Mus musculus: one gene and its partners. The protein of the gene in region 1 purifies or fractionates together with the protein of each later gene. This does not show direct contact. Links are inferred from orthologs where the notes say so. Each region holds a gene or a part of one and is shown in the gene's direction. Other genes may lie near its edges. The genes, in order: Ppp6c, Ppp6r3, Ankrd44, Ankrd52, Ppp6r2, Ppp6r1 and Arhgef2.

Region 1 (4,412 bases):
TTTTTAAGGGGCTAAAGAGATGTCTCAAACAAAACCAAGCAAAGAAAACAAAATTTAAAAATCCAAATAAGTTTGATCATGTTGCATGTTTAAAATCCTACAACAGTTGTCCACTGCATCAAAAGGAAAATAAATCTATGTATTCATTTCTTCCTCTGAGCTCCAGCCACTATGGTATGGCTCTTCCACAAAAGCTCCAAATAAGCTTAGAAATGCATCAGATATCTTCCATACAACTTCCCACCTTCCCAACTTTGCTGTGTTTTTGTTGTTGTTGTGTTTTTTTTTTTTTTTTTGAGACAAGGTCTTCTGGTTGACCTGCAACATGCTACATAGACTAGGCTATCCTAGAACTCACAGTTATCCAGCTGCCTCATCACTGCTGTGGTCAAATATGTGGTACACTATGGTCAGGTTAATTCTGAATCCTGTGTCAACCCATCCTCCTTACTATGCTGGAATGTTTTCCTTAAATTATCACTTTCTAACATGCTCTGAGTAATTTATTATATTTGTCGGTTATCTCTAACAGAATTAAATTGCAAGTTGAGGACAGATTTTTTAATACATTATTTTTTATTATTTTATTTATTTTGACTGCAAATATATTTCTGTACCACATGCACACAGTGCCCAGAAGAAGGTGTCTGATCTCCCGTAACTGGACTTGAAAGCAGCCACGTAGATGCTAGTAATAGAACTTGGATCCTCTGGAAGAACAGCTAGTGCTCTTAACTAATGAGCACTCTTTCCAGCCCCAAGGATAGAGATTTTTGTCTATTGCAGCCATTGGTTATTCTAACTGCCTATAAGTGTATCTGTACTTTGTTGCTATTCAATATAGAGTTGTCAAATGGACCAATGTTAAAGCTATAGTAGGTGTCAAGAACTGTTCTTGGCACTGGGATACGACAAAAAAAAAAAAAAAACCTTTCCGGCCCCCTCCTGGAACTCACCGGATTAAGTCAGTAGCCTGTTTTTCAGTCTAGGATCCATCTTTTCTGTTTCCTTTGAGATTTTGGGGCAAATAACACATGCAAACTTTGCATTCTTACAGTCTTACAAGAATTGAACAGGAGAAAAAAAAAGTGCCAGTATTTGTACAGAATGTGGCATAAGAAATGCTTTATTGTTTGTTTCTTCCCCCACCCACCACCCACCCCACCCCCCAGCCAGAGAACCGGTGGTGTTAAGTTTGTTTCAAATGTTGTCTAGGCCAGGTCTTCAGTAGTCCTGGAAAGGCGGTAACAGTAACTCTTAACTTTAACTGAAGATACTTTACAGGGTAGGAGTGAGAGCCAGGGAATTCTTAGTTAACCACTTCATGGTCTTCCTTAGAAAAAGCCTCATTTGAGGTGAAGTCTGTTGCCAAGGATAGGAAAGGAAGAGCATTTTACTAAAACTACAAATCCCAGCACGCCCCGCGGCAGAGAGCTACGGGTCCCAGTAGGTTTTATCAAAAGGACCTCCGGGTTCTCTTGGAGATAGATCCGTGGCCCGGAATTCCGCCTGAGAGAGAGAGCGGAACGGGTCAGGCTTTTACGTCGCTTCGCAGACGCCACTCACGGATCGGACGTGACGTAAGGAGGGTTCCGGATTCGGCCTCCGCCGCTGCCTCCGCTACTACAGCCGCTGCCGCTGCTGTCGCCGCGGCTTGTTCTTCCTAAAATGGCGCCGCTGGATCTGGACAAGTATGTGGAGATAGCGCGGCAGTGCAAGTACCTTCCCGAGAACGACCTGAAGGTGAGCCGGGCCGGAGGCCGTCCAGCTTGCGAGGCAAGCCCCTTCCGGCTGCGGGGCTCCCGCCGGCCCGCCCTTCTCCCTCGGCGGGATCCCTACCGGGCGCCCGATCCTGGCGCGGCGGAGGGCGCTCCGCGGTGCGAGAGGACCGGGTCCGAGGCGGCGTGACGCGGAGAACCAGGGGAGCCCGGATCCCCCGAATGCTGTCCAGTTCTTTGAGGGGAGATCCCGGGGGATGTCACGATCCCCTGACCCTCACGGGACTCCGAGCTTAAAGACTCTCACTCTAACTCGCTCGGCCTCCCGGAGACGGAGCCGGGCCGAGCGGGTAGTGCTCCCGGGATGGGGTCCTCCCAGCAGAGGTAACAGGAGCCGCTGTCTGCTCCAGGGACGCGGCCGCGGTGTGTTTAAGTCCCTGAGAGGTGGAAGCCGGTGGGCGGGATCGATGCGACCATAATGGGAGAGAATGACAAGTCGCCTCAGCTTCACCACTCCCCTAAATTGCTTCTTAGGAGTGGTAGTTTTCTTCTGATGATTTGGATGTGGATCTCATTTCTTAGCCCGTTGTTGAGCTATTTAAGTGAATAAGCAGTTGCTTATCAATAAGTTCAAATGTTTTTATGACCTCTGAGCTGTTCCCCTGTAACTCAAGGTGTCGTTTTCTTGGTTTTCCAAAGGAGGTCTTACTCAGTTCAGGCTAAGTTAATGCAGTAAAGAAGTAAGCCGTTGGTGTACCACTGTTATCAACCGTATTTTGTTTCTGCAAAAACTAGTGCTTAGGACCACGTTGGTGTTTATCCGATGGTTGCTAATGTCTGTTTTATTCCGTTAACTTTGATTTGCTATGTAGTCAGTCACTCTCGATCATTTGAATTTTTTTTTCATGCTGTTTTTGTAATATTTTTAAGCCACAGGCTTAAAACAATTTTTTCAAGAAAAAAATTGCCTTTTTCCTAACGAATTTTATTTCTCTTGTGAAGATTTTGCTCTGTGTCTGTTTTCTTGTCTCATCTAGTACATGAAGTTTATATTTAAATCAGCCAACAAGTATGCAAAATGTTTAAGACCTCAAGTGTTGGTTGTGTGAAAGTACATAGCTTGTAACTTACATACTGACTGCCTGTGTTACATGATTGGTGTTCATATTCAGCCACCTGAATCAGGCATTTGCCTTGTCTTCCTGCTTGGTAATTTTGTTTTGTCTTGTTTTTGCTTTCTTCCTGAGATAAGATCTTAATATAGTTCTTGCTGGGGCTGGAGAGATATCTCAATGGTTAAGAGCACTTGGCTGCTCTTCCAGAGGACCTGGAAATTCTGTTCCCAGCAAGGGCATGATAGTTTGTAACATCCTGTCACTCCAGTTCCAAGGAATCTGATGCCCTCTTCTGGTCTTCATAGGCACCAGGTACACATGTGTTCCACAGACATGTGTGCAAGCAAAGCAGCCATACACATAAAATAAAAACAAATCTTTAAAAAAAGTTCATGGTGGCCTCCAACCCAGTATGTACCTGAGGATGGCCTTGAACTCCTGACCCTCTTGCTTCTACTTCCCAACTGCTGGACCCTAACCAACATGCCTGGCTTTTTCTTTCCGTTCCTTTTTTTTTTTTTTTAATAAGATTTATTTTTAATTAGTTGGGGGGGGGCGGTTATGTGCACATTTTGCCTTTGTAAGCCAGGGGCACCAGGTCACCTGGAGCTGGAGGTACAGGCAGTTGTGAACCAAAAGATGTGGGTGATAGAAACTGAACTCGGGTCCTCTGTACAATCTTAACTGAGGAGCAATCTCTCCAGATCTTAGATATAGATATTTTGATACAGGGCATCATGTAGCCCAAGCTTGCCTTAAACCCCTGGTTCTCCGGCTTCCACCTTAATAGTGGTTTGTTTTATTTTATTGTGGTGTGAGGGTTGAGCTGAATTTTTTAAAAGATTTAGTTGTTTTTTATTTATGTAGATGTATGTGTACCTGTGTGAATTTATGTGCCCCATGTGTATGCTGGTGCTGGCAGAGGCAGAGAGCAATCCTAGGCTCCTGAAGTTGGATTTATAGGTGGTTTGAGCTACCTGATATTTGTGCTGGGAATTGAACCTGAGTCTTCTGCAAGAGCACTAAACTCTTTAAATTGCTGAGCCTGTTGTGTGCTTTTTAAATTAATTAAGTAATTATTTTGCTTTGTTTATCGAAACAGGGTTTCTCTGTGTAGCCCTGGGTCAAAGTCACTATAGGCATGGCTGGCCTTGAACTCAGAGATCCTCCATGTGTCTTTGGGATATGGGTATATGAGTGCAGATGCCTTCAAAGCCAGAGGCATTAGAGGCTGTAGTTACAAGCTGGAGGCTCTCTGAAGCTGTAGTTACAAGCAGTTATAAGCAGCCTGGCATGAGTGCTGGGAATAGAGTGTAGGTCCTCTGCAAAAGAATCATATGTGCTTTTAACTGCTGTGTCATTTCTCCAGCCCCACATTTATCTGTTTCTTACTAGACTGCCCCACTCCCCTAGTTTTTTGATTAACTACTGGGGAAGAAAATCTAAATTTTCTGTATATCCTTCAAAAAAATTGTTTCCTATCCTGGAAACAGTTCTATCAGATTAATTTGCTTGTGCAGCCAGTCTCTGATATAGTTTCTATTTGCTTGGTTGCTTATTTGTTGAGACCGGCTTTTGT
Region 2 (3,833 bases), on another chromosome or scaffold:
CTCCATTACATCCTCCTCCTTTGCAGACAGTGGCCTCAAAAGCCCCCATTAGTAAGTGCTGTTCCTAGGGTCCCACTGCTGTCTCTGTCCTTGGCCACATGTAATATTCACAGCGTGGTCCTGTGCTCTATATTCATTGTCTCGGTGAGAGTGAGGACGTGAGGTGGCACTTGATGTCTTTGTAGCGAGGGCATGTTTCCTGATGCCGTAAGTAGACTGGCAGCAGTTCAGTAGGTCCCATATAACATTCCTGTATTTTCCAACTGGGAAGACTCACCCAAGACTGATGGAAATAGAATTGGCCTCTCTGTAGACCTTCCAGTGTCCCGGGTTTTTCTGAGTGATTTCTGAGGAGGTTAAAGCTTCCTGCTCTATCTCTCAGGTAGGTTGTGCAGAAGTCTCTCAGACGGTTCTCAGCCTCCAAGACTTAGGCCAGCATTTCATTTGCAGGATCATGATGATGTCCATCAGTCTTTCTTTCTCTGATGCTACTTTTGCTATGGTGGATGGGCATGGGGAAATGGTGGGGGCTAGGGGGAGGGTGGGAAGTTGGGGGTGGTTAGCACATTATATTTTAGGATACTGTTGGTTGTGTCTGGAGATGATGAGACTTCTGATAATTTCAGACTTACATGTCTCTTACCTCTTCACACTAAGGCTAACTCAGTTCTCTGTCCAAAGACTATAGTAGTCGGCACTTTTTACAGTATGATCTCTTGAATATTTCTTAACAATGTATAGTGGAGCAGTTTGTGTGTCATATTTCAAAAATCCCCCCCTTTGGGGTAAAATGTCTGAAATTATTTGATTTTTCTTTTTCTAAAGAAAAACACACCAACCTTTAAAGTTCCATGGCTGTGTGAGTTAAAGTGGTTTTCTGGAACACAAATGGGCAAATAGTGTATAGAATGTCATTAGAATCATGATGTCACTGTCACTGGTCCTGGGGTTGCCAGGCCTTTTCTGATTATCAGATGCAACAAATGACGTCCAATTTTATTGACCAGTTTGGCTTCAACGATGAGAAGTTTGCAGACCAAGACGACATTGGCAAGTGAGTATATTTTAATATTTCCTTAATGACTTCCCCCACACACTTTGTAATTATATTTGTGGTTCTCCTGTCAGCATGTATTTTGTAGCTTCTCTGAATTGTAGGTCCCACTGTCATTTTCTTGGTGATTGATACAAAACTAAGAGCCAAGGGACCCTGGGTATTGGACAGGGCACTGGACCCTTTCCTAGGGACTTGTGTTTATTAAGTGATCTTTGTTTTTGAGATTAGTCTCACTGTGTTATCCCCTACTGATGTTGGATCTGTGAGCTCAAGCATCCTCCTGTCTTAGCTTGCTAAGTTAGTATATGGTAGGATAGATGCCTGCCATTGCTTCCAACTTAACTTTTTTACAAAGACCCCAGCTACCATTCTGCTCTTCTCAGTATACCATTACTATAAGTGATTCTGTAATTCCTTCCCATGTTTGCCTCCTGGTCAAGGTGTCACTGACTGTCCAGCACATTGTTTAGTACTGCATTCTTGCAGATGATCAGGGCAGCAGGACCAACCAGCCTTGCTTGTATGTGTTCTCTGCTCTGGGGAAGTCCCTATAAGGAAGGAGGTTTGGGTTATTTTACAAAAGCCAAGTACTTTAACCATTGCCCTGCAGTCGGGGTCAGAGGCAGAGAGGGAATTAGAAACTGGCAGAGCAGAGAAAGGAGATGTACAGATGACTGGCAGAATGGAGGACCAGCATCTTGCATCCTGCCTGGGAATGAGAACAACCACCCAATATGAAGATCGTTGGTTATTGAGAGCAGAGGTGAAGGGAAATTTTAAGCCACTGTGATATCTCAGGTAGTGACTGTCCACTGAGGCACCGTAGCAGTAGTTTGCAGCAGGTATTGGACTTGAGCTAGTGTAGAGTGTTTTATTACACATTGAGTTTGGACTCTGGGAAGCTAAAATCTTTTCACAGTGCACTGCATGAACATGCTCTACAGGCAGTCTGGAGCAGAGGCTCTACTGTGAACAGCATGCACTAAGACACCCAGCGACCTCCCTCATTGGCTTATTTCTATCCAGAAAGAAAAACACTATACAAGGCATTTATCTGTTTGCTATGTGAACAATCTACATAGGATCAGAATACACACACACACAGACACACACACAGACCCTCATCCCTACCCCATCTCCTCTTGACATCTTGGATTTTTCCCATCTGGACTCTAGTTTTACTAGTTCAGAATTGACATTCTCTTTTAGAACAAATGCTTAGCCTGATAACTGGTTAGAATGGAGCTTTGATGATTAATAACATTGTCCCACCATTTATAATCATGTAGCTCATCATGGCTGCTTTTACCCATCCCTGTCATGCTTTCAAGGAGGCAGGATGGCAGGATTGCCTGTGTGTTTCATGTACGAATCGGTCCTAGTACCTAACAATGCTTTTGTGCTTTTTCATGTTTGGACTTGATTGTTTGGAAGCTTTTTTCTTGGTTTTGTTGATGTGATCCTTGCAACCATAATTAGCACAGAAGTTAGAAATGTGTTGTTGAAAGGCTGTCACGGCCTCAAAGCATCATCTCCACTGCTCCCATCTCAACTCTTCCCTGTATCCACTCTTTAGTACCAGGGAGGGCACCATTGAATACAGCACGGAGGGTTTGTGCATTACTCACCGAGAGTGCATTGATAATAGAAATACTTGAAATTTTGAGGATTTCAGAGCACTGTTTATAGCCACCTATGGATGACAACAATTCTTCTTATGTTTTCTTTATAGTGTTTCTTTTGATCGGGTGTCAGATATCAACTTTACTCTCAATACAAATGAAAGTGTAAGTATAAACGCTTTCTGTTGTGCTCTGCCACTGGAGAAGTGGAGAATTGTGTTGTGTTGTGTTGTGTGTTGTGTTGTGTTGTGAAAGTGTGAGTATAAACGCTTTCTGTCGTGCTGTGCCTCTGGAGAAGTGGAGAATTGTGCTGAGTGTTGCCGGAGGCTGCAGATGGTTGTCCCGAGCTGTAGGCTCTTTTGCCCTATGGGATCCCACATCCCAGTTATCCTAATGAGTATCATCACATTATGTCTGCCTGGACCTGCAAGTAGGAGTTTGCAACCTTGGCTAATAGGACCCTGCCACTGTGATTGTACCACAGACATTTGGCCTTGGTTTCTCATCTCTGTTGCATGAAAAGAACATAACTTGGGTCAATATCAAGCTCTCTGCCAGGCTTCTCTTACAAACAAGACATTTGTGGCATTTTAATGGGGCCGTTCTGATTTTAGGTTGAATATCATGAGAATCTACTTTTACTTGCTGTTGGTGAGGTAGAATAACTCGTCAGGTTATAGCAGCTCTTTATGACTTCCTGGGCTGGTAACAGGAAGGACCCATGTCATTTCCTTGTTGGTCATATTGAAGACTTATCTTTGATCAAAGAGGAAGCTCAGAATGAAATGGGCAGTCCTGTGAGGAACAAGTGAGCTCATATTCAGGCCTTTTTCATGCTAAATCCAATCTTTCTCAGGAATTTTTTGTTACTTACACAGAAGCTAACATTTTATTTTTATGTTTATGCTTGATTTGGGCATATGTAATAGGTACCATTTTTTGAAAAGCAAATATAAAAACACAATTTTCCCTGGTAATTTGGGAGAGAAAACAGTTCTGACTTCAGTTGTATTTTTCTCTTTTCTTTACTTTTTTTCTGTAGGGAAATATTGCCCTGTTTGAAGCATGTTGTAAAGAACGGATACAACAATTTGATGATGGCGGCTCTGATGAAGAGGATATCTGGGAGGAGAAGCACATTGCATTTACTCCCG
Region 3 (3,833 bases), on another chromosome or scaffold:
CCAGGGATACACGCCACTGCACTGGGCGTGTTACAATGGTGAGTCGAATGTCATCTGAGTCGAATGTCATCTGAGTAGAATGTCATATACTAGACTTTCTAGCCTCGCACCTCTGTGACCTCAGTGGAGGTGAGAACACTGCTGTATGCTGTGGTTACTGGTGTCTGCACCCAGACACTGGTGTCTGTCTTATGTTGTTTTAAACATCCCTCATCCCCACCCCTGTGGCTGTCATGATGCTGAGTAAGGTTTAGTTTGTTTCCCTCTTCCTGTGACACCTCATCAGAGTCGCCAATGGACTTGAGCAACTGTAATCAGAGTTTCTGATCTGCACCAGATAACCAGGAACCACATGAAGTATTAAAACAATGACGGTAAAAACAAAACAGCATACAGTATAGTTCACATACAGTAGAGTCACTCATAAACGCTAGTAGATGTGTAGTTTAGATTTTGGTATTTTTTTTTAATATCCACATTCCACATTTGCTTTGTTGTGTGTGCTACTTGGAATATTCAAATTTTTTATCTCAGTTATTTGGAACAAAAGAGAAATGTGTGCTAATTGTATGCATGTCTCATAATTTTTCCTCTGAGATTATAAATAAAAAATATGCATATTCTTTAAGTGGAATTATACCACAAGTCTCATCCCATAGTTTTCTTCCTTTTTTCTTAGTGCTCCCTTAAAATCCTACTGCAGGCTATCCTTAGATACCATATGCACAATACATAGTTTTAATAGTAATATACTGATAGCTACACACATGCACACCTGCATGCACACTCACACACATACATTCACGTGCATGCACATTCCTTAGAACTTGCTTATTCAACCCGATCCCCCTCTGATGGACTTTTAGGTTAATTTTAGGGTTTCTTTCCTACCATAAACACTGTAGCAGTGCATATTCATATTATAACATGAAAATCTCATTAAATATCCAGAAGTGAATTTTTTAAATAAAAGGCATGTTTTTAGAATTTTAAGGAATAATATTTTGTACAAAAGGTTGCCCTAATGTGATAAAAGTATTTTTGCTACAACTTTGCCAGCCCAGTGTGATTGTATTTCTTTATTTTTGGTAACTTTTTCTTGGTTAAGTTTGCATCTCATAATATAATTTATTGGCTATAGTTCCCTTTCTGAATGTGGCCTTTCACCCATGCCTGCTTTCTCATGGTGAACCGCTTACCTCTTCCCTTGCATCTGTAAGAGCAGGGTGCCTTGGCTATGTGGCTCTTCTGTATTGTGTGTTGGGAGTGTCTCTGTTCCTTGTTTTGAATGCCTTTTGCCATGCAAATGTTTTGAAGTTTTGTGTGGTTGAATCTATTTTGTGGTATCTCCATAATCAGCCTTACGAAGACCTCTTACCCCCTAAGAGAATGGATATCTCATATGAATATTTCTAACTCTACTTCTGCAACTTTATATTTGCATTTCAGTTCCACTAGGATTTTTAGTTTGGAAATTGTGATTATGTTTTCTGGGAAGAGTTTCTGTGCTCAATTACATTGAGTTAAAACTACCTGTGTTTTCATTAGTCTTCGCATTCATTGGTTCTGCCTTAATAAAAACTTATTTTTGCTCTTATCCTACCATTGGCCAGCTGTAAATTTTTTACCTAAAATAATATTTTAACCTGCAACTTGTGAGCTCTCTCTGGCAAGGGAGAAACCACAACAGGAAAGGAAAGGGTGTGGAAGGGTGCTGAATCTGAGGGCAGACACAGGCTGGTCACACAGACTGCATCCTCTCCCTGGGGTTCGGCTTCTTTCTCTCTCCCCACCAGGCCATATGGCATTCACTGTTTGATTTCTTCATTATATCTCAGAACACCTGTGAGCATAGTTAATAACATTTTAGCGTTTTGTTTTATTCTACAGAGAACAAACATTGAACTCAACACTTAATGGGGAATTAAAACCAAACCAAATCAAACAAGACAACAACAAACAAACAACAAACCACCATGACCAAAGTTTGTTTCTTTCTTGTGAGCTCTCTAAATGTGTTTATTCCTTGCAGGTAATGAAAACTGCATAGAGGTACTTTTGGAGCAAAAATGTTTTCGAAAATTTATTGGTAATCCCTTCACTCCACTGCACTGTGCAATGTAAGTAGAAACTCTCGAAAGGCAACGCGGCCACTTCTGTTCCTTTAACTTCATGTGGAAAAGGTGTCTTTTTACAGGTGGAGAAAGCATTTAGATTACAGATAAGACTAATATATTCTATTCTGCTGCTAAAGACAAATAGGCCTGCTAGCCAAGCATGCAACTCGTGTTAATGATTTTCCAGAGGCTACATTTCCAAGGTGACTCATGTACCACATGAGGAAACTGAAGGTGGTGGCCTGAGAGGCATGGTTTACAGATGTAAAGAGATCTTCAGCAGTAGCCTCCATCACCCCCCAAACTCTGAAAAATAAGTCAAGGTTGATAGTAATATGTCTGTAACTGGTTAGAAATTTTCTACCAGGAAAACGTTTCCTATAATTCTTGATCTTCATCCTCGTCATTCTCCTCCCCCCCCCCCATTCTCCTCCTCCTCTCCTCCTCCTTTTCCTTCTCTTCCTCCTTTTCAAATTTAATTGTTATTGCAAGTTCATAAAGAGAACTTGTTGTTCAGAGAATGCAGTGACCTTAAGTCGGAGTTCTGAGAGTCAGCCTGGGATGCAAGGCTTGAAAGTGCCTTGTCTTTACATTGTCTGTGGGCTTTGCATGAAGCTGGGTCATTTGACTAGAAGTACAGTAGAGGCATGAAATCAAATCAGTACAGAAAGAGTAGGTAAGAAAGAATCAGAGTGACTTTAGGGGCTGGAAAGATAGATCAGTAATTAAGAGTACTTGCTGCTCTTGCAGAAGACCCAGATTTGGTTCCCAGCACCCACACTGTGGCTAACAGCCATCCATACCAGTTTCATAGGATCTAGTGCCCTCCTCTGGCATCCTCCAGCACTAGGTACACATGCAGTGCCCATGTATACATGCAGGAAAAACACTGACACACATAAAATCAAAATGAACAAACCTTTAAAGTACTAACCAGGATGATTTCATGTGTGAAGGATCTGTCTTTTCCACTTTGGTGTCTGGATGTCACCTACTTGGGACCTCATGGGAGTGGTGTTCCAGAGTCTCTTACAGACACAGAGGCCCTTAATGGAATCAGTGGAGGGGGTCAGTGTACACTATTGTAGCTTGGCTCAAAGCTTGGCATCAGATTTCTAAAAATAGATCAAATTGTTGAGTATGCAATGCTTGTAAAGATGAGGTATGAAGGACTATATAATTTTAATGAGGTTTTTAATACTGAACTCTATTTTCATTTTAGAATAAATGGTCACGAGAGCTGTGCATCATTGCTCCTGGGGGCCATAGATCCCAGCATTGTCAGCTGCAGGGATGACAAAGGCAGGTAAGCAATGCAAGCTGTCATATTCTTGGTCCTGAGTCTCAGCCTTTGTTTTTGAATTTTGAATAGTAAACCATTTGCTTTCAATTTTATATAAACTTACTTTTGGTAGTCCTGAGGATTGAATTCAGGGCCTTAGACAAGCCAAAAAGTACCACTGAGCTACAACCCCAGCCCTTAGTGTTTAGAGTCTTGCTGTGTAGCTCAGGCTGGCCTTGAACTAGCTATGAAGCCCAGGCTAGCCTCAAACTCATAATCTTCCTCACTGTATACATGCACAATCCTTGGCCAAAAGAAAATATTTTTTAATTGAAAAAGTAAGGCATAGTATGTGTCTTAGTCAGGGATTCTATTCCTGCACAAACATCATGCCCAAGAAGCAACTTGGGGAGGAAAGGGTTTATTCGGCTTAC
Region 4 (4,585 bases), on another chromosome or scaffold:
CGTGTGCCACCACGCCCAGCACAACAAGCACTTTTAACTGCTGAGCTATTTTTCCAACCTCTCTCCCAAATTTATTATTATATATATTTTTTTTTCTTTTTTTTCTAAGTACACTGTAGCTGTCTTCAGACACACCAGAAGAGGTCGTCAGATCTCACTACAGATGGTTGTGAGCCACCATGTGGTTGCTGGAATTTGAACTCAGGACCTTTGGAAGAGCAGTCAGTGTCAGTGCTCTTACCTGCTGAGCCATCTCTCCAGCCCTTATTATTATATATTATTATTGTTGTTGTTGTTGTTGTTTGGCGGTGAGATTTGAGACAGAGTGATTTCTTTTCAATTTAACTTATAAACTACTTTTTTTTTTTTTAAATCTCACGTATGAATGTTTTACCCACCAAAAATTTCTGCAGTTGGAGTTACAATCCGCTATTAGTTGCTAAGTGGCTGCTGGGGATTAAACTTGGGCCCTTTGGAAGAGTGGTCAATGCTCGTTAACTAGCTGAACCACCTGCCCAGGCCCAACACTTTCTTGTTGGCTAATGGATATAGGCAGACCCGGTCCACTGTGGGTAGTACCATCCCTAGTCAGGTGGCCCTAAATTAGATAAGAGATCTGGTTAAGCTTGAGCCTGGGTTCATTCCTCCCTGGGTTCTTCGTTCAAGTTCAAGTCTGAGTTTCTGCCCTAAGTTTTCTCAAAGATGGACTAAACCCTTTCCTTCTTTTAGTTGGTTTGGTCATTGTTATCGTAGCAACACAAAGGAACTGGGGCTCATGATGTAGCCAGGACAGTTCTTGAATACACAATCCTCCTGCTTCAGGTTCCAGAGCGCAGGAATCTTATAAATGATTCACACCTGGCTCTAAAGCATCTTTTATAAATTGTACCCATCTATCAGTCTCCACTTTTCTTTCTCCCTCGGCCAACTGTCCCTGATTGGCTGCCTCTTTTGACCTCTCCAATGGGTGAGGGGGAGTTCCTCTCTACTGCCTTTTTACCGGGAGAAACAGTTACTACCCTAATCTGGCAGGGTAATTATGGAGTTGCTGTTGGGCTTAGAGGCCTTTCTTCAGCTGCCAAGTGTCCAGCTCTTCACGGAGGCTTCCTGAAGCAGGAGTCTTTTGAGATTTTTCTGCAGCTTAGCAATCTTGCTATTTTCTTTCTACCCAGTGGAGACTGGTTCTGGGGCCATCTATAAGTCTCGGGTCGCCACACTCCGAGTTTCCACTATCTCTGGGGTACTTGGGGGTGTGAGTACGGTCGGAGGCGTCCGCTCTACCGGAGCATTGTGGGCTGGGTGAGCTCTCGCCCGCTGTTTGGTCCTGGGCTCGGGAGTCACTGGGGGAGCGAGACCCGACTCCGTGCCATGGGCCTGCGAGAGACCCCTCGGGCCGCCCGACTGCAACGGAGGGCACAGCGCGGTCCGCTGGCGGAGCTGCGGAACCCGCGCGCGGGGTAGGGGGAGCCCGGGCCGCCCTGGCCGTCCTGGCGCGGGGCGAGGGCGCCGAGGCCTGGGCAGCCTGCGCGGACAGCGAGCACCCCGAGGCCCGGCCAAGGCTCGCCGCCAGGGAGCGCTGCGGGCTCCCGCTCGCCCGCCCCCCGGTAGGCGGGGCCGCCCTCTCCCCGCAGCCGCCGCCGCAGCCGCCGCCTGGGCCGCCCCGTGTCCCCGGTGGAGCCGCCGCCGCCGCTGCCGCCGCTGCCGCGAGCTCGATGCGGACGGAGCCTGGGCCGGGCCATGGGGATCCTCAGCATCACGGACCAGGTCAGCCCTCCCACCCTTCCCCACTTCCTCTTCCCAGGCCCCGGCACCGCCGCCACGCGAGCCCGGGGATGTGCGGCCTAGGCTGGGCCCGAGCCCGGGGTTCCCGCGGCTCCCGCCGCGCCCCACGCCGTGCTCCACTCCGTGGAGCGGGTGTCCTTGGGGGCCTGGCGACCGGTGGGGGCACGGCGGGAATCCGCTGCAGCCAGGACCCCTGTAGCGGAGCCCCTCCAGCGACGCCCCCCTCCAACCTGTGTGCTCCCCCACCTCCTGGTAACGCCGTGGCTCGGGCCCGCTCCCTGAAAGCTGGTTCTCCCTGCAGCCGCCCCTGGTCCAGGCCATCTTTAGCCGAGATGTGGAGGAAGTGCGTTCCCTCCTCTCGCAGAAGGAGAACATCAATGTACTGGTGAGTTGGGAGCAGGGAGGATGGCGAGCCGGAATCCGGAGGGGTTCGGGACCCCTCCCCACAAGTGGGGCGGCTCCGTTTCTCCTCTGCTCTGATGAAACTGCAGCTCTTTCTACCCAGAAATGGGAGCCTGCTCCGCATTTAAGGTTGGTCAGGCATGGAGCACCGATCATGGGTTCTGGGGATGCCCAGAAAACCCTGTCCCCTTCTCAACCATCGGGGTCTGCAGCGCCCCCACCCCTCCGGGAAGGAGTAGGTTTCTTGGTCGGTAGCCCTGACTCCACCCTCCCAGGATGCTGGCTTTTGAAGCCCGATATTGGGATTTAAGACCCTGCAGAAGAACCTAGAGGAAGGGAAGGGCTTGGAGTTCTCATACTAGAACTGGCGTTCAGGATAATTTCTCTCTACAGCTGCTTCTCTTTTCTGCCTTTCCAGGACCAAGAGAGGCGAACCCCATTGCATGCTGCTGCCTACGTAGGCGATGTCCCCATCCTCCAGTTGCTACTGATGTCAGGTGAAAGTGGGGAGCTGGGAGGTGCGGCATCTAGGGAGGGGAGAAGTCTTTTTAGATCCGAGGATTGATTGCTGGTGCTTGGTACAAGAATGGCTTTCTGTCCGTTCAGGTTCCCCACTCTGATTATTGGTTTCCTTCCCTCCCCCTCCTCAAATCCCAACAAAATAGCAAATTGTGTCCACACAGGTGCTAACGTCAACGCTAAGGACACACTGTGGCTGACCCCTCTTCATCGTGCCGCTGCCTCCCGAAACGAGGTACAGACCCTACCTCATTTCTCCCTTTCAAAAAGGATGGGCTGAGGGCTAGAGAAACTCAGTTCTCTGCCCTACAGACTCTTCTGCCCCACACAGGGAGGAGACCAGAGTTTGGCTTCTCCTTCCTGCCCCTAGAACTGGCTGGGGGGGGGGGGGCTGAGTGCTGCCAGCTGATGTGACGTCAGGGAGAGAGCTTAACACTGGGCTGGCAGACTGCGGGGGCCCTGCTGCCAGGCCTGAGTGACTCATCCCTCCCTGGGGGCCACCTTAAGTCTGATCCCCCTCTGGGCACTGAGATTTCTCTCCTTGTGATGGGGTGGGGAGTAGCAATTCTGTGTCCTTGCCCCTCGAGCAACATTTAAGTTGACTGCCTAAGGGCCCAAACTCATATGGAGTCCTGTACAATGGTGTTATCAACCCTGAAGAGGAAGGGAAGGCCTCTTTGATCTCCCATCACTTCCTTGGCTCCAGCTCCCAGGGGGAGAGAGCTTAAGGCCAGTGGGAATGGTGTGGGACATGTTTAACGGGAACATTGAATTTCGAAGGGGATCCAGTTATGCTTGTTTATTGGGGTTATATGATTTTGGTGTCTGTGGAAGGGCTAAGGGAAAGGATGTTTTTGCCATTAATACAGTGGGAGCCATTTGTTTTTCCTGGAATTAGGCTTGGGGTGTGTGGATTTGCCCAGGGTGGGTGTGAGTGGAGATTTTCGGGGACCTAAGTTGGAGGGTGGTAGATGCTAAGTGGCATGGGGAAGAGATCCCTGTTTTCCTCAGCAAAACAAAGATGTTTAAGCTCCAACAACCTCAGGTCTGGAGAGGCTAGGTGTGTAAAGGAAAGGAAGAGATACCATGCTAGGAAGATGGATGACTAGTCACCATACCAGCCCCTTCCTTCTGTCCTCTTATGTCACTTCCTGCTCCCCTCTGTCTTCTCTTGTCCCTTGCTCCACCACAGAAGGTGCTGGGGCTGCTGTTGGCACACTCAGCGGATGTGAATGCCCGGGACAAGCTGTGGCAGACACCACTGCATGTGGCTGCTGCCAACCGGGCCACCAAGTGTGCAGAGGCTCTGGCACCCCTGTTGAGCAGTCTCAATGTGGCTGACAGGAGCGGGCGCAGCGCTCTACACCATGCAGTACACAGTGGGCATCTTGAGGTGAGGAGCATTGCAGTCTAGACACAGTCTTCTCTCTGTTCCTTCTCACCCATAACTTACGTGCTTCCAGACCCAATGGGCAGGAGTGGCTCAGATAGTTATTTAGATACTGGGGCCCTGCCCCAGAGGAATGATTGTGTTAACCAGAGGGTTTTGTTGGGGGGGGGGGGATGTTTGTTTTTGAGATAGAGTCTCACTATGCATGCTTGTCTGGCCTGGAGCTTGCTATGTAGACAGCCTTGAACTTGAACTCACTGAGATCCCCCTGCCTCTGCTTTCTGAGTGCTCAGGTTAAAGGTACGCTAGCATCCACAGCTTATATTGAGTTTTTATTGATTTATTTTATATTTATTTTAAGCAGTGTGTTACAGGTGCTTGGTAAAGGCTGTGTCACTGAGCTACACTTTGAACCCATAGATTGAAATTCTTTTGTTCTAGTGTTGGCAATGGTAGGCAAGCGATAGACTGTTCACCTGTATACATTTTACC
Region 5 (3,833 bases), on another chromosome or scaffold:
CGAAACTGTGAGCTTCTCACCAAGCTCTCTTGTACTCACGGGCTTTCCAGAGCTGTGCCTGTACTAGAGGTCCTGACTCACCTTCCTGTCTTGTTTCCATCTCACACTATTTAGAGGGCCTTCCTAGTTTTCATATCAGGAGGCCATGAGTGTAGGTGATATTCTGTCCCCTAGAAGTAGGTTGTGGGCAGCAAGGCCTGAAACCCTGAACTCTATGCCCCAAGCAAAAGAGCAGAGCTTCTCCCCTCAGACATGACGCCTACTGCCCTGAGCAGTTCCCTTATGCAATACCTCCCCAACAAGTATGAGTTAAGGAAGCTCCACGTGGTCCTCCCCATGACCCAGGACCAGAGGAATTGTTTTCTTTGTGGTATCTTGGAGGCCACTTGCCTGTCCACCTTCTTCCTAGGTATACTGCAACAGTGGTGAAGTTGAGCTTGCTGGTCCATCATCACTCATGATGAGTGGGCAGCAGGGCAGAACAGTGAACAAGCTGAGGTGGCTCCCTTGTTGCTAGAAGGGAAAAAGAAATGGGCTTGGAGCCCAGTTTAGGGAGGTGAGGGGTGAGCAGAAGGTTCTTGTTTCCAGTTAGGCCCAGGTTCTAGTTTCCCACACTCCAGGCCTAGGAGTGCAGTAGGAAGGTGCTCACTTCCTCAGACCCTTAGGGTAGACATATGTACCAGCAGGTAGTTTCAGACCAGGCCTGCTGGCATAAACTATTAATCCCAGTACTCTGGAGGCAGAGATAGGCAGATCTTTAGGAGTTTGAGGCCTGCCTGGTCTACATACTGAGTTCCAGGACAGCCAGAGTTACATGGTTTCACCATGTCTCAAAAAACATAAAACAACAGAACTCTCATGCCCGATACGGTCTCTGTAGAACAAGCTGAACATTGCCCTGCTCAGAGTTGTTGTAGCCTAAGGCCCTGGAGGACATTAACCCTCCCCCTTTGCTGTATAGGCTTATTTCCTATCAGCAGCCCCTGTTTGTCTTGAGTGGACTGATCGTAGAAGCATAACTTGTCCCTCTCTGGACCAGCCCTTGCCTGCTAGGGCTCCTGAGTGCCCTACCCTTGGGACTCATAAGTCCCACACTTATGAGGGTACTCACAGGACTTATGAGTAGCACTTACTTTGCAGGGCTCCCTGCAGATTGCCGTGGACGCTGGGAGAGCTTTGTGGAAGAGACATTGATGGAGACCAACCGCAGGAACACTGTGGACCTGGTGAGGAAGCTGGGGCTCCTTCCATGGTGACCATTGGCAGTCCCATATGTACCACTCTGCAGCACAGGGCGAGGAGGAATGCGCAAGGGCAGGACTGGACATTTAGTTCAGCCTCTGGCCTGCAGTCTGTTACATACCCTTGCTATGTCGCAGCAGAGCTGGCTCCCTGAGGATCTCTTTGCAAAGCTAGTGCTTTCTTGATCTCCACCCTCCAGAGCTATGGCTTATTTGTGAAGGACTCTGCTTAGTTCCCAGGGCATTACCTGGACCAGGGAGGCTGGGCTCTCTTTCAGGAGGCTTTGGCCTCAGTTGGCATTTCCTTGCAGTGAGCTGCACAGGCCTACAGGTGTCAGGGGATTGGTGGTGTGGGAGGGTATCGGGGAGGGGGAGACTCAGGCTGGGCTGGGCGGGACCTGGGGCTCTGGCTGGAATGGACTGGGTGGGGTCTGGCTAGCTCACATGCCCACCCCATCTGGCCTGTGTTTTAGGTGAGCACTCACCACCTTCACTCCTCAAGTGAGGACGAGGACATTGAGGGGACTTTCCCTAACGAGCTGTCCCTTCAGCAGGTGAGGGCATGGCCGGCACTCTGCACCCTGCCGGGCCCTTCTGGAGCCTGTGTCCTTGGTAGTGCTTAGTTGCCGTGACATTGCATAGAAAAGAGAGAAGTAACTCATCTCCGAGCGCATCTGGGGAGAGGGGGCTGGGCGAGTACCCCAAAGTCACGTTACCGTGGTGAGAGAGACCTGGGGACAGTAAGCTTGGAGGCCGACTGAGGAGGTGCTCTCTGTATGCAACTGCTCAACCACTGTGAGCAGTCAACCTCTGCGAAAATCCACTGCCTGCTTCCTAAGAGGCTCCTGAGCAATGGAGTGGGTTCCAAGGAGCAGCCACCAGGCGACAACTTGTTCCATAGCTGTACCCTCTCCTCCCAGGCCTTCTCTGAGTACCAGATCCAGCAGATGACAGCAAACTTTGTGGATCAGTTTGGCTTCAATGATGAGGAGTTTGCAGACCAGGATGACAACATCAAGTGAGTACAGCCACCATGAAGGCTCCGGCTCTAGGCTAGCACTGCCCTAAGCAACAGCACCATAGAAGCAGCTCCAAGTGATCTTGGCAGGAATGAGGTCCACTGTCCCTGAGGAGATAGCAAGCCCTACTACCCGAGGGCCCAGGCCTGCTGGAGCAGAGGCGGTACTGAGGGACCTTGTTCTTGCAGCGCCCCATTTGACCGGATTGCAGAGATCAACTTCAACATTGAAGCCGATGAGGACAGTGTGAGTGATGGGGGCCGCTGCAGGGCTGCAGGGCATAGCAGCATTTTATTACACTGCTCAGATAGTTCACAGTGTCCACAACTTGGTCCTTGTCACAGGTGGATGGAACCATGGGGCCCTGGCCAGTATATTTGTGTGTCAGGACTGGGAGGCTCCCCTCTATGGGAGTTGAGAGCCGAGCTTCCCTCCTTGCCTCCTCCCACACTGTCTGTCGGCCATGTTCTGTGAGCTAGCCCCTCTGGAGTTCTTTGGGACCAGATTCTCCAGAAAACAGCTCTGCATTCTGTCTTACAGCCCAGTGCAGCTCTGTTTGAAGCCTGTTGCAGTGATCGGATCCAGCCCTTTGATGATGATGAAGAGGAGGACATTTGGGAAGATGACGAGACTCGATGCGCTGCCCGGGTGATGGCCAGAGCCAGGTGTGGGTTCACTCATCCTCCCAAAGCCCCCACCAGCGGGGAGCAGGCAAGATTAAGCGCTGGGTATTCAGCCACTGTTAAAAGTGCTCAGACACCTAGAGGGGCAGTGGCCCTTCTTGCAGAAACCAGAGCAGACCTGGGAGCCAAGCAGTGCTTATTCTAGACACCCCGTACTCAACCCTGGTCCCAATTCCTGAGCCATCACAGGTTCTCCAGCATTGGGCATCTAACCAAGGCTCACCAAACATCTGCTACCTTTATGTCTGCCCAGGTTTGGAGCCCCTCATGTCTCAGATAATTACTCAAAGAATGCTTTGGAACATGGAGGCCAGGACAGGAAGACTGGCTCAGCAGTAGCTAGGAATGTGCCTGGATTGGCCGCTCCTTCATCTCCTACACAGAAAGAAGGTCCTCGCTCAGAGAGTGATTCAGCAGGTAGTACCTGAAGACTGTACAAGGGACATGGGTACTGAGGACAGGGTGTGGTGACTTGGCTGAGGGACCCCCTTTGAGCCACTGTTTTTCCAGCAGTTGATTTCCTAGTTCCCCATCTACACATGGTTTCATGAAATGTTTTGGGAGGTCTGGCCACCACGGGTTCTGCTGTGCACTGAATCGAGCCAGGTGTTCTTACTCCCTTCCACTGTAGTGCCTGCCTGTATACATGTGCACTTGCACAGCTGGTGTCCATTCTGTTTGCTAGGGAAGGGAAACCCCATGTAACCTGTATGTTGCTATTTGCCATCTCTCAGATGTACTTGGGAGCATCTACCCATATACTTCCTCTTAGAGACCTCTCTTACCTGCTCTGGGGTATTAGATACTCAGGACACGGGCAAGAAACCAGCTGTCTGTTAGGAGTTGCCAGCACCTTAGCTGGAGCTGGCCAGCTGCAAGGGCAGGAACAC
Region 6 (4,294 bases), on another chromosome or scaffold:
GTCTTTTCTTGCTGTGTTGTGCTGGGACCATCTGTTCTTTAACACACACACACACACACACACACACGTACTTTTAAAAACATATTTGAGTGTATAAAGAGGGGCATGGCCTGTGAATGGAGGTTAGAGGACAGTGTGGGGCATTGATTCTCCCTTTCTCCCATGTGGGTATTGGGATCGAATTTTAAGTTGAGCCAGGTTATGGGCTTGCACAGCAGCCACCTTTGCCCATGAAGCCAGCTCGACATCCTTGAAGTTTTGTGTGAAAGTTAATCTTCATTGCCAAGTTGGCAGGATTTAGAATCACCATGGAAACACATCTCCAGTGTGTGTATGAGTTTCCAGAAAGGTCTAACTGGGGAGAGAAGACCCATCCTGGAATTGGGGGTGGGGTGGGGGGGGGGGGCAGGCTGAACTTAAAGGAGACAGGGAGCAGAGCTAGTGTTCACTTTTAATATGAAGGTGCTCTCTTACACAGAACTCAGTTGATACAAGATCGAACAAAAATTAAAAGCAGCACAGCCCAGGAGAGACAAGACGAAAAAAATTACTGACAGGTGTTAATCTGTGCAAGTCCATTAAAGCCATTTGAGAAGGGGTGGAGAAAAATATCTACATCCCTTGAAAGTCAAAATAATGACTGACGTGAAATGTCCCCGAAATATAAAGTCCTAATCTGCTGTTTTAAAAAAGGAAAACTAATGTTTCTTACATGCATTTATCTAGTCCTTACAGCTGACCTCTAAAACGGGCACGAAGGAGCAGGGGATGAAAGTTGGGGTAAACCGAGGCTCAGCGCTAGAAAAGGCCCTTTAGTGACTGAATCCCGGCGTTAAGGGGTTCCTCCCGGTTGTTACAAGAGGAGGCTTTGTGCAGCAACTGGCAACAGTAGACGCGGCTTGGGCAAATGCCTGAGTAGGAGGTCAGCCAGAAAACCTCGGCAGACGCTTAGGCATCCGGGACGAACCCGACTGAACAAAAGCAACCAGCTTCGCGTGAGGACGAAAAGTTGGAATGGATTTCTTAGGAGTTGACTCGAGTCAAAGAAATATGGTTGAAGGAGTCGGAATAACAATCGGATTTCCGAAGGTAGCTTTCAGGGCGAAAGATCCTAGAACCGAATATTCAGCGGATTTTGGAATGTAGTCACAGAAAACGGGGTTCTGGCTGCAGCAGCGCCTGCGCACTGGGCCCTCTAGGTTTATTCAGGGAGAGAACATTGGCAACCGTGGGCACGGACAGCCGCGGAGTTCCGGAGTGGGCGGGTTCTGGGCGCCAGCGCTCACCGCGCACGCGCCTCGCCAGGCCGACCTAGCGGCCTCTCGCGCACCTGCGCACGGAGAGCGACCACGAGAGGGCGGAGCCTGTCTTCTTGCGTCCTCCCGCGCTCGGGGCATTGTGGGACAGTGGCGGAGGTAGCCCTGCGTCGGAGGCCTTAAGGTGGACGGCTGGGGCCGGGGAGACCCAGCCGCTTCGGGTGACAGTAAAGCCGAGGGGACGGGCGTCGGCTCTCGGTGCAATTCTGCACCCGTCGGGCTGCGGAGGCTTCTTTTTCCTGTCCCGCGGGTGCCGGCGTGTCAGTGTGTAACCCGCGGCGACTTCCCCCGTCGCCCTGCTTCGGAGGCGCCTGCGCGGGCCTCGCGTCGGCCACGGAGCTCTGCGGTGGAACGAGTGCGCCTACTTTTTCGCGACGACCCGAACTCGTCGAAGCTCGGTGGTGAGGCAGGGGATTCCCTGTGACTGGAGGGCGCTTGCGCGGGTTCGCGAGCTCCGGCCCGGGCGCCTGCGCGAGCCCACCGGCGCCGCCCCCGCCCCTCTTAGCCGGCCCCTCGACAGGGCCGGAGCCGCCGGCGGCGGGGCGGCAGGGGCGCCCCGATGAGCCCCGAGTGCGAGGAGCCGCCGCCCCCCCGCGCAGGTGAGCCCCGCAGCTGCCTTCCCGGGCGTGCGCCTTCTAATCCGGAGTCTTTTCCTCAAATCTCCCTGAGCGCCCCTGAGTCTCTTAGTATCCTCCCTTTCACTCCCTAAGTCTTTTAGCCACTTGCCAGTATCATCAAGTCTATTTCCTGTCGCCGGGCCTGTGTCTACTTCGCTGTCATTCCCAGCCCGTCTTCCTCGTCTATTGGGGACCCTCTCTAAGTCTCTTAGACTCTTCTCCCCGCAGCCCCCAGCCCCCATCTCTTCCCACTGGGATCTACATCACCTCCACCTATCATTCTGACTCAGCTCTCTTGGGATTTGGGCCCACTCCCCTGTCCCCCCTGTCGTAGTCTTCCTCCTCTAGGGTGCCTTTCTCTTTCCTTCCTCTTGCCTGCTCTTTTGTGCTCACCTCTGTGTCTACCTACTCTTTTCACTCTCACCAGCCTTCGTGGACTCTTGACCTTTTTGTTTCTCACCCTCTGCTCAGGAAGGCAAGGTTAAACAGGTCTTTTCCTTCGCCTTGGCTGTGGCTGTCCTGTCCCTGTTTGTCCCTAGTTTCCTGTGGTGAGGAGGCACTTTGGAACCACTGTTTGGTGCGCTACTGGGTATTCTGTGAGATGAGGCCCATTGAGGGCAGAACTTGGTTGCTGGGTCCAGGAGGGAGTGGTCAGTGGAAGTCCCTGGTACTTTTATCTACTCAGGGAGCCAAAGGCAGAGCTGGACAGTCACAATTACTGTGTGTTGTGATGGTGGTAACCCAGGGTGCTGTGGCAGCAGGCCGCAGAGTGGGAGAGACTGGTGAGACCGGCCGGATGGGTGACTTTTCTGTCGAGGAAGGCTGAGTGGGAGTTAACAGATGGAGAGTGGGAAGAAGAGCTTTCCAGGTGGAAGAAACACCGCGTGCAAATATGTGAAGGTGGGAACACTGAGGGAGCCAGGATGGAGTGGGTTGAAGTGTTAAGAGGGCAAGGGTGGAATGGCTTGGCTGGAGCTGCTGTCCAGGGCCTTAAGTGACCTGGTTGGTAGTCCTTTTCCCCCCTCCCTTCGGTGGTGGTACTAGGGCTCAACTCCCAGTTTTCCTGCCACGGAGCAAGCATTCTACCACCGACTGAGCTACACATAGCCTGAGCCTCTCCTATTGCTTTTAAACTATGAGGCAGTATCTTGCAAATTTTTTTAGGCTTGCTTTGAACTCTGAAGAGCTGGTGGGCTATTGACGCACAATCGTCTAATCTCAGTTTTCTAAGTACCTGGGATTAATGTTTATGTTGCCAGTCCAAGGGAGTTATGGTCTTGACCACTCCTTATATACTGAGGCAATTGTACTGAGGATGTATTACCTGGAGGCAAGATGTTTCTGGAAAGGAAGCTGCACTGTATGACAAATGTGGTACTGGGTTGAGGGTTGTAAAACTGCCACAGAGTTGCTTCCATCTTAAAGGAGAAGTTCTGTCAGACTCAAGGCCAGTGTTGCAGGGACTGGATTGCTTCAACAACACAGTATGAGTTGTTTCTATGTGCATTCTGCACAGCTAATGTGGACAGTTCACACGAGAGCACTTGCTGTGTTCTGCCACATGCACTTGGAGTTATCTTGTGCTCTTTGAAATGTTTCTCCTGTGGGTTTTTTGTTATTTATTTTCCTGGTAACCTTTGCCTAATGCAAATCATTTTGCCCAAATTCAGTGACTCTACTCTAGTTTTAGGGTTGGTATAATGAGGAATTACCTAGAGCAAGAGTTTTTGTGAGTTAGACTTAGTTTGAGTCCTGGTGCTTGCCTTTCCTAGTGGTGAGTCCTTGGAAAAGTTAGGCAAGTGTTCAGTACCTGTTTCTCCTCTATAAGTGGGCTAATAGGAGGGCTGTCTGTGTAAAGTGGTTCAGGATATTGAGTGCAATGTTTGTAGATGCCTATCAGAATGCAAGGCACACAGCAAGTATATCGAATCAGTATCTCTTAGGATTATCATCTGATTTTTGATAATATATCCCAGTAGTTCTCATTGGGTATGATATGTCCTCTCGGAGACATTTGGCAATGCTTGGAGACCCTATGGTTGTCAAAACTGTAGGAGTAGAGAAAGTAAGCTTCCCACGTTTAGTGTATATATCCCACCCAGGGATGCTATTGATTGTCTTCTAATGCACAGAGCAGCCACTCACCACAAATAGCTATGTAGTCTCAGCTTCTATTGATGCCAGTAGAGAAACACTGCTACTCTGCTATTTTGCTTAAGTATCTTATGTGCTTTGAGCTTCTGTGTGGTGTAGGAGCTGTTGTGTTTTTTCCTTTACATGCATCCTCTTTGGTTGTTTGCTTTTGTTGGGTCATGTGGCATCTTTTTTTTTTTTTTTTTTCCATTGAAGGAAAACAGTCTT
Region 7 (3,833 bases), on another chromosome or scaffold:
TGTATGGCGGAGGTGGTAAAGTGAAGGGGGGACATAAGGAGGTGATCTCTGTCTAGACCACTGGGCTCCATCATCCTCAGGCCACCCCAAGGCCCAGGGCTCTCTGGTCCATTGCTCTTTGGCCACCCCAAGGCCCAGGGCTCTGTGGTCCACTGCTCTCCAGCCCCTGGACAGTTGACTCAGCACCTTTCTGCTTCCCCTTTTCCCATCCTCCCCTCTAACTGCCAGCATGGTTAGTGGCGTAGGCAGGACTGCTCATCCAGGCCCAGGCTGAATGCTTTTCACTGAATTGTGACTTTTTGTCCTAGGGTCCCAGCCAGTGTCCTCAACTTGGGGCTCCTACTCTCAGCCCCAGTCACCTGAATGATGTCCTTGTCTCCTAACATTTTTTCCCCCTTAGAGATAAGGTTTCTCTGTGCAGCTCTGGCTTTCCTCTCCTGGAACTTACTATGTAGACCAGGCTGCCCTCGAAGTCTGAGATTTGCGAGACTCTGCCACCCAAATGCTAGTTTTTTTTTTTTTTAAAGATTTATTTATTGTTATATGTAAGTACACTGTAGCTGTTTTCAGACAGACCAGAGAACAGAGAAGGGTGTCAGATCTCATTACAGATGGTTGTGAGCCACCATGTGGTTGCTGGGATTTGAACTCAGGACCTTTGGAAAAGCAGTCAGTGCTCCTAACCGCCGAGCCGTCTCTCCAGCCCCAAATGCTAGGTTTAAAGACGAGCTTCACTCCTGCCTGGCTTGTCCTCTAACATCTTTAATTAATTAACTTAACTAATTACTTTAGATACAGGGTCTCACTGTGACATTCTGACTGGCTTGGAATTTGCTACGTAGGCTAGTGTGGCCTCAGACTCAGAGATCGGCCTGCCTCTCCTCCCCAGTGCTGGGATTAAAGCCGTGCCCCACTGTTCCATTTATCCTGCCTTTTCTGACTTATTGGTTCCGTGCCATGGTTTGGACGTGGGTGTCAGTTTGTTCTTCTGCCGTGTGGGACCTGGGAATCGACCAGGGTCATCGGGTGCCTTTGCTTTTCTTTTAAGCTGTCTTCTAACCTGTTTGTTTTGTGTTGTGTTTTGTTTTTGATCGTAGTGGTGGTGTTTTGAGATAGGGCCTCATATCACTATATAGCCAAGGATGTCCTTGAACTCCCAAGCTTCCTGCCTCCACCTCAGTGCTGTTTGTGCATGAGTGTGTGCGCATGCACATACACGTTGTTGTTGTTGTTGTTGTTTTGAGACAGTTGTTCAGTAGCCCAGGCTTGCTGCAATAGTCTTAGTCTTCCTGTCTTAGTCAGGAGTTAACAGGCATGGGCTACCACAGCTGACATTGTCTTTTCACCTTTTCTGGCTCTTGGAGCTTGGGGAGGAACAGTAAAGAAGTCAAGGACTCTGACAGAAGCTGGAGGAGGTAGGGGAAGCTTAAAGGCAAAGGTAAACATAGACCTCGGGGTAAGAAGGTACTCAAGAGTGCTGCAGGCCTAGCGCTGTGATCTGGAGTTCACAGGGTTTCTTGGGTACTGAGCCCCCACCTCTGTACGTACACACACACACACACACACACACACACACACACACACTCTGCTAGTGAGGGATCTCTTTTGGGCTTTGACTGAGTGTAAGTAGAAGAGTTAGAGGGTTCGGATCCTGGCCTCTGAGTTGATGGTGTCTGAAGAGGCATCCTGGCCCCCACCCCCAGCCAATCTAATAGGGGAATCTCCTGCTTTGCCATCCCTGCTCCCCCATGACTGCTCTGAAGACAGCAGCTCCAACACCCGTTGTCATGGTTATGAGAGGAGCTAACTCCCATAGATTGGAAAGCGCTGGTGAGCTGGCACCCTCTGCTTCACTGGTCCTCCCCTCTCTCTGCGCATCTTCCCCCGGCACAGAGAAATCGTACAGCAGCCCGGGGGCGAGCAGAGCTAAGGCTGGAAGGTGGAGTGAGGACGCAGAGCTCTAGAGCTAGGGAGATGAGTGGGAACAGGAGGCAGCCCAGTCGCCGGGGTCAGGTAGGTCAGAGGCCTCGAAGCCTCAGGGACTGACTACCCAGGGCCTGGTCATGCCTGGACAGCCACCTCGGACACCCGTGCATAGTGGGTTATGCTTTAGCAATTGCTGTCACTTCAGCCTCTCTAGGCAGGCATTTCTCCCATGCCTCTGCTGTTTATCTGGACGCCAGGTACCTGACTGAGTGTCTTCTGACCTCACTTCTGTCTCTCAATCTTTCCACAGACCCGGGAAAAGGAGAAGATGAAGGAAGCTAAAGATGCCCGCTATACCAACGGCCACCTCTTCACCACCATCTCCGTCTCCGGCATGACCATGTGCTATGCCTGTAACAAGAGCATCACAGCCAAGGAAGCCCTCATTTGTCCTAGTAAGTTTTTGGTCCCAAAGGTGACCTAGCCTCAGTTGCCATCGACCTCTAGTTCTCCCGTCCGTCTGTCCTTCCCACCCTGGATCCTTTAAAGGACTCTATTTTCCGGATCCCAGCCGGGCTCAAGTGTCATGCTCAGGTGCTTGGTCTCCTGCCACCCTTGCCCACACTGGGTGGTGGCTATTGGAATGTGGCGTAAGCTGGTTGGTCTCTTGGGTGTGGGGTGACAGAGGCTGTTGTTACTCTCCATGCAGCTGTCGCTGGCTTGGGTATCCCCCTCGCCTCTTGAACAGCTGCTGACAGTTCGGAGAACTGCCTGGAGAATGAGCAGGAATGTGTGTTATAATGCAGGGTGGGAGAGGAGTAGGGAGCGGAGGGAAGCTGCCAGCCTGCAGCTGCCTCTGCCCATCTCCCTGGACAGCTTAGACGCGAGGACTCCTTGCCCCTGCCTTTCTGTTGCATGTGAGGGAAAAGAAGTCTGCAGATTCAAGGACAGGCTGGGATTATCCATTTCTTTATCCCTGATAAAGAAATTCAGCAGAGACCTGAATGATGGAGGGAAGGGCTCAAAACTCCTAATCTTGCCCATGTCTAACCTTTATCCTGCCCCAGGAAGGAGACAGAGGAATTCCGACCTCCTTAGGATACCATTGCAGAGGGCTCTAGCTCCGCCCTGCCCCACCCCCACCCCCACCCCCATCCCCATGCCTTCCCTGGAGTAGACTCGAGTGTTGTACCTTGATACTGACCAACACAACTCCACTCTAGCCTCCTAATCCCTTTGGGATGTTGGAAAGGAATCCCAGATAGAACCAGGGAGGCCTACCCCCCTCAAAAAGAACCAGAGAGGCCTGCCCCCCCCACTTCTTTACCACTTGATCTAGAGCCAAAAGGATGAGGAGGTAACCCCAATCTAGATCCCTCTAGAGACCTGGCAAAATACTCAATCCGGAAGCTTGTTGCCAGGGGAACTGGGGAGGTGGGTAGCACTATTTTGAGAGCAGGTGGAAAGCGGGGGCTCGATTCAGAGACACTAGGTGTTGTGGGTAGGGGAAGGGAGCTCCAGGGGGTGGGCACTGCCACAGCCTGGCTTCTGTCGGCCCCTTCTGCCCCACCCTGTGTGCCTTGTATTTGTGGAAGTGAGCGTGGTGTTGGGCATTGTCTGCCTGAGTTAGCAGAGTTTCCTGTGGTGTTTGGGGGTGGGGTGGGGGGAGCTGTAGAGCTGAGGGCCTGTCAGGAAGGGAACAGCCATGGTCCCGAGTGCAGGCTCAGCTAGTTCAGCTACTCCTTTTTCCTTTCCTACTTGATGGAGAGGTGGGGTGGGGGATGGGGGGAAGCAGATGGAGTGTGGGAGCTGTAGTTTGCCTTACTGGGGAACAGAACTTCCCAGGCCTACAAGAGAAAAGGCCCCCAGAATGGAGTTAATGCAGAAGGCTGCCAAGATGGGAAAGG

What was found.
Region 2: the proteins of Ppp6c (region 1) and Ppp6r3 purify together in Homo sapiens (affinity purification with mass spectrometry; 10 studies listed by BioGRID and IntAct, with this or other methods). This does not show direct contact. The link is inferred for Mus musculus from reciprocal best matches to the Homo sapiens genes PPP6C and PPP6R3.
Region 3: the proteins of Ppp6c (region 1) and Ankrd44 purify together in Homo sapiens (affinity purification with mass spectrometry; 5 studies listed by BioGRID and IntAct, counting the BioPlex papers as one, with this or other methods). This does not show direct contact. The link is inferred for Mus musculus from reciprocal best matches to the Homo sapiens genes PPP6C and ANKRD44.
Region 4: the proteins of Ppp6c (region 1) and Ankrd52 purify together in Homo sapiens (affinity purification with mass spectrometry; 6 studies listed by BioGRID and IntAct, with this or other methods). This does not show direct contact. The link is inferred for Mus musculus from reciprocal best matches to the Homo sapiens genes PPP6C and ANKRD52.
Region 5: the proteins of Ppp6c (region 1) and Ppp6r2 purify together in Homo sapiens (affinity purification with mass spectrometry; 9 studies listed by BioGRID and IntAct, counting the BioPlex papers as one, with this or other methods). This does not show direct contact. The link is inferred for Mus musculus from reciprocal best matches to the Homo sapiens genes PPP6C and PPP6R2.
Region 6: the proteins of Ppp6c (region 1) and Ppp6r1 purify together in Homo sapiens (affinity purification with mass spectrometry; 11 studies listed by BioGRID and IntAct, with this or other methods). This does not show direct contact. The link is inferred for Mus musculus from reciprocal best matches to the Homo sapiens genes PPP6C and PPP6R1.
Region 7: the proteins of Ppp6c (region 1) and Arhgef2 purify together in Homo sapiens (affinity purification with mass spectrometry; 4 studies listed by BioGRID and IntAct, with this or other methods). This does not show direct contact. The link is inferred for Mus musculus from reciprocal best matches to the Homo sapiens genes PPP6C and ARHGEF2.

What each region holds. Positions count from the first base shown.
Region 1 is NC_000068.7:39,223,498-39,227,909, reverse strand, and holds the start of Ppp6c (serine/threonine-protein phosphatase 6 catalytic subunit), read left to right. Parts: upstream 1-1,560; 5' UTR 1,561-1,668; coding exon 1,669-1,743; intron 1,744-1,783; exon of another isoform or gene 1,784-2,102; intron 2,103-4,412.
Region 2 is NC_000085.6:3,470,990-3,474,822, reverse strand, and holds part of Ppp6r3 (serine/threonine-protein phosphatase 6 regulatory subunit 3), read left to right. Parts: intron 1-956; coding exon 957-1,054; intron 1,055-2,789; coding exon 2,790-2,844; intron 2,845-3,721; coding exon 3,722-3,833.
Region 3 is NC_000067.6:54,657,206-54,661,038, reverse strand, and holds part of Ankrd44 (serine/threonine-protein phosphatase 6 regulatory ankyrin repeat subunit B), read left to right. Parts: coding exon 1-38; intron 39-2,032; coding exon 2,033-2,120; intron 2,121-3,339; coding exon 3,340-3,423; intron 3,424-3,833. UniProt on the Homo sapiens protein: Putative regulatory subunit of protein phosphatase 6 (PP6) that may be involved in the recognition of phosphoprotein substrates.
Region 4 is NC_000076.6:128,375,486-128,380,070, forward strand, and holds the start of Ankrd52 (serine/threonine-protein phosphatase 6 regulatory ankyrin repeat subunit C), read left to right. Parts: upstream 1-1,638; 5' UTR 1,639-1,737; coding exon 1,738-1,764; intron 1,765-2,083; coding exon 2,084-2,167; intron 2,168-2,602; coding exon 2,603-2,681; intron 2,682-2,867; coding exon 2,868-2,938; intron 2,939-3,895; coding exon 3,896-4,096; intron 4,097-4,585. UniProt on the Homo sapiens protein: Putative regulatory subunit of protein phosphatase 6 (PP6) that may be involved in the recognition of phosphoprotein substrates.
Region 5 is NC_000081.6:89,277,559-89,281,391, forward strand, and holds part of Ppp6r2 (serine/threonine-protein phosphatase 6 regulatory subunit 2), read left to right. Parts: intron 1-1,140; coding exon 1,141-1,226; intron 1,227-1,714; coding exon of another isoform or gene 1,715-1,795; intron 1,796-2,161; coding exon 2,162-2,259; intron 2,260-2,448; coding exon 2,449-2,506; intron 2,507-2,800; coding exon 2,801-2,925; intron 2,926-3,196; coding exon 3,197-3,360; intron 3,361-3,833. UniProt on the Homo sapiens protein: Regulatory subunit of protein phosphatase 6 (PP6). May function as a scaffolding PP6 subunit. Involved in the PP6-mediated dephosphorylation of NFKBIE opposing its degradation in response to TNF-alpha.
Region 6 is NC_000073.6:4,656,102-4,660,395, reverse strand, and holds the start of Ppp6r1 (serine/threonine-protein phosphatase 6 regulatory subunit 1), read left to right. Parts: upstream 1-1,445; 5' UTR 1,446-1,915; intron 1,916-4,294. UniProt on the Homo sapiens protein: Regulatory subunit of protein phosphatase 6 (PP6). May function as a scaffolding PP6 subunit. Involved in the PP6-mediated dephosphorylation of NFKBIE opposing its degradation in response to TNF-alpha.
Region 7 is NC_000069.6:88,627,551-88,631,383, forward strand, and holds part of Arhgef2 (rho guanine nucleotide exchange factor 2), read left to right. Parts: exon of another isoform or gene 1-1,974; coding exon of another isoform or gene 1,975-2,013; intron 2,014-2,236; coding exon 2,237-2,381; intron 2,382-3,833. UniProt on the Homo sapiens protein: Activates Rho-GTPases by promoting the exchange of GDP for GTP.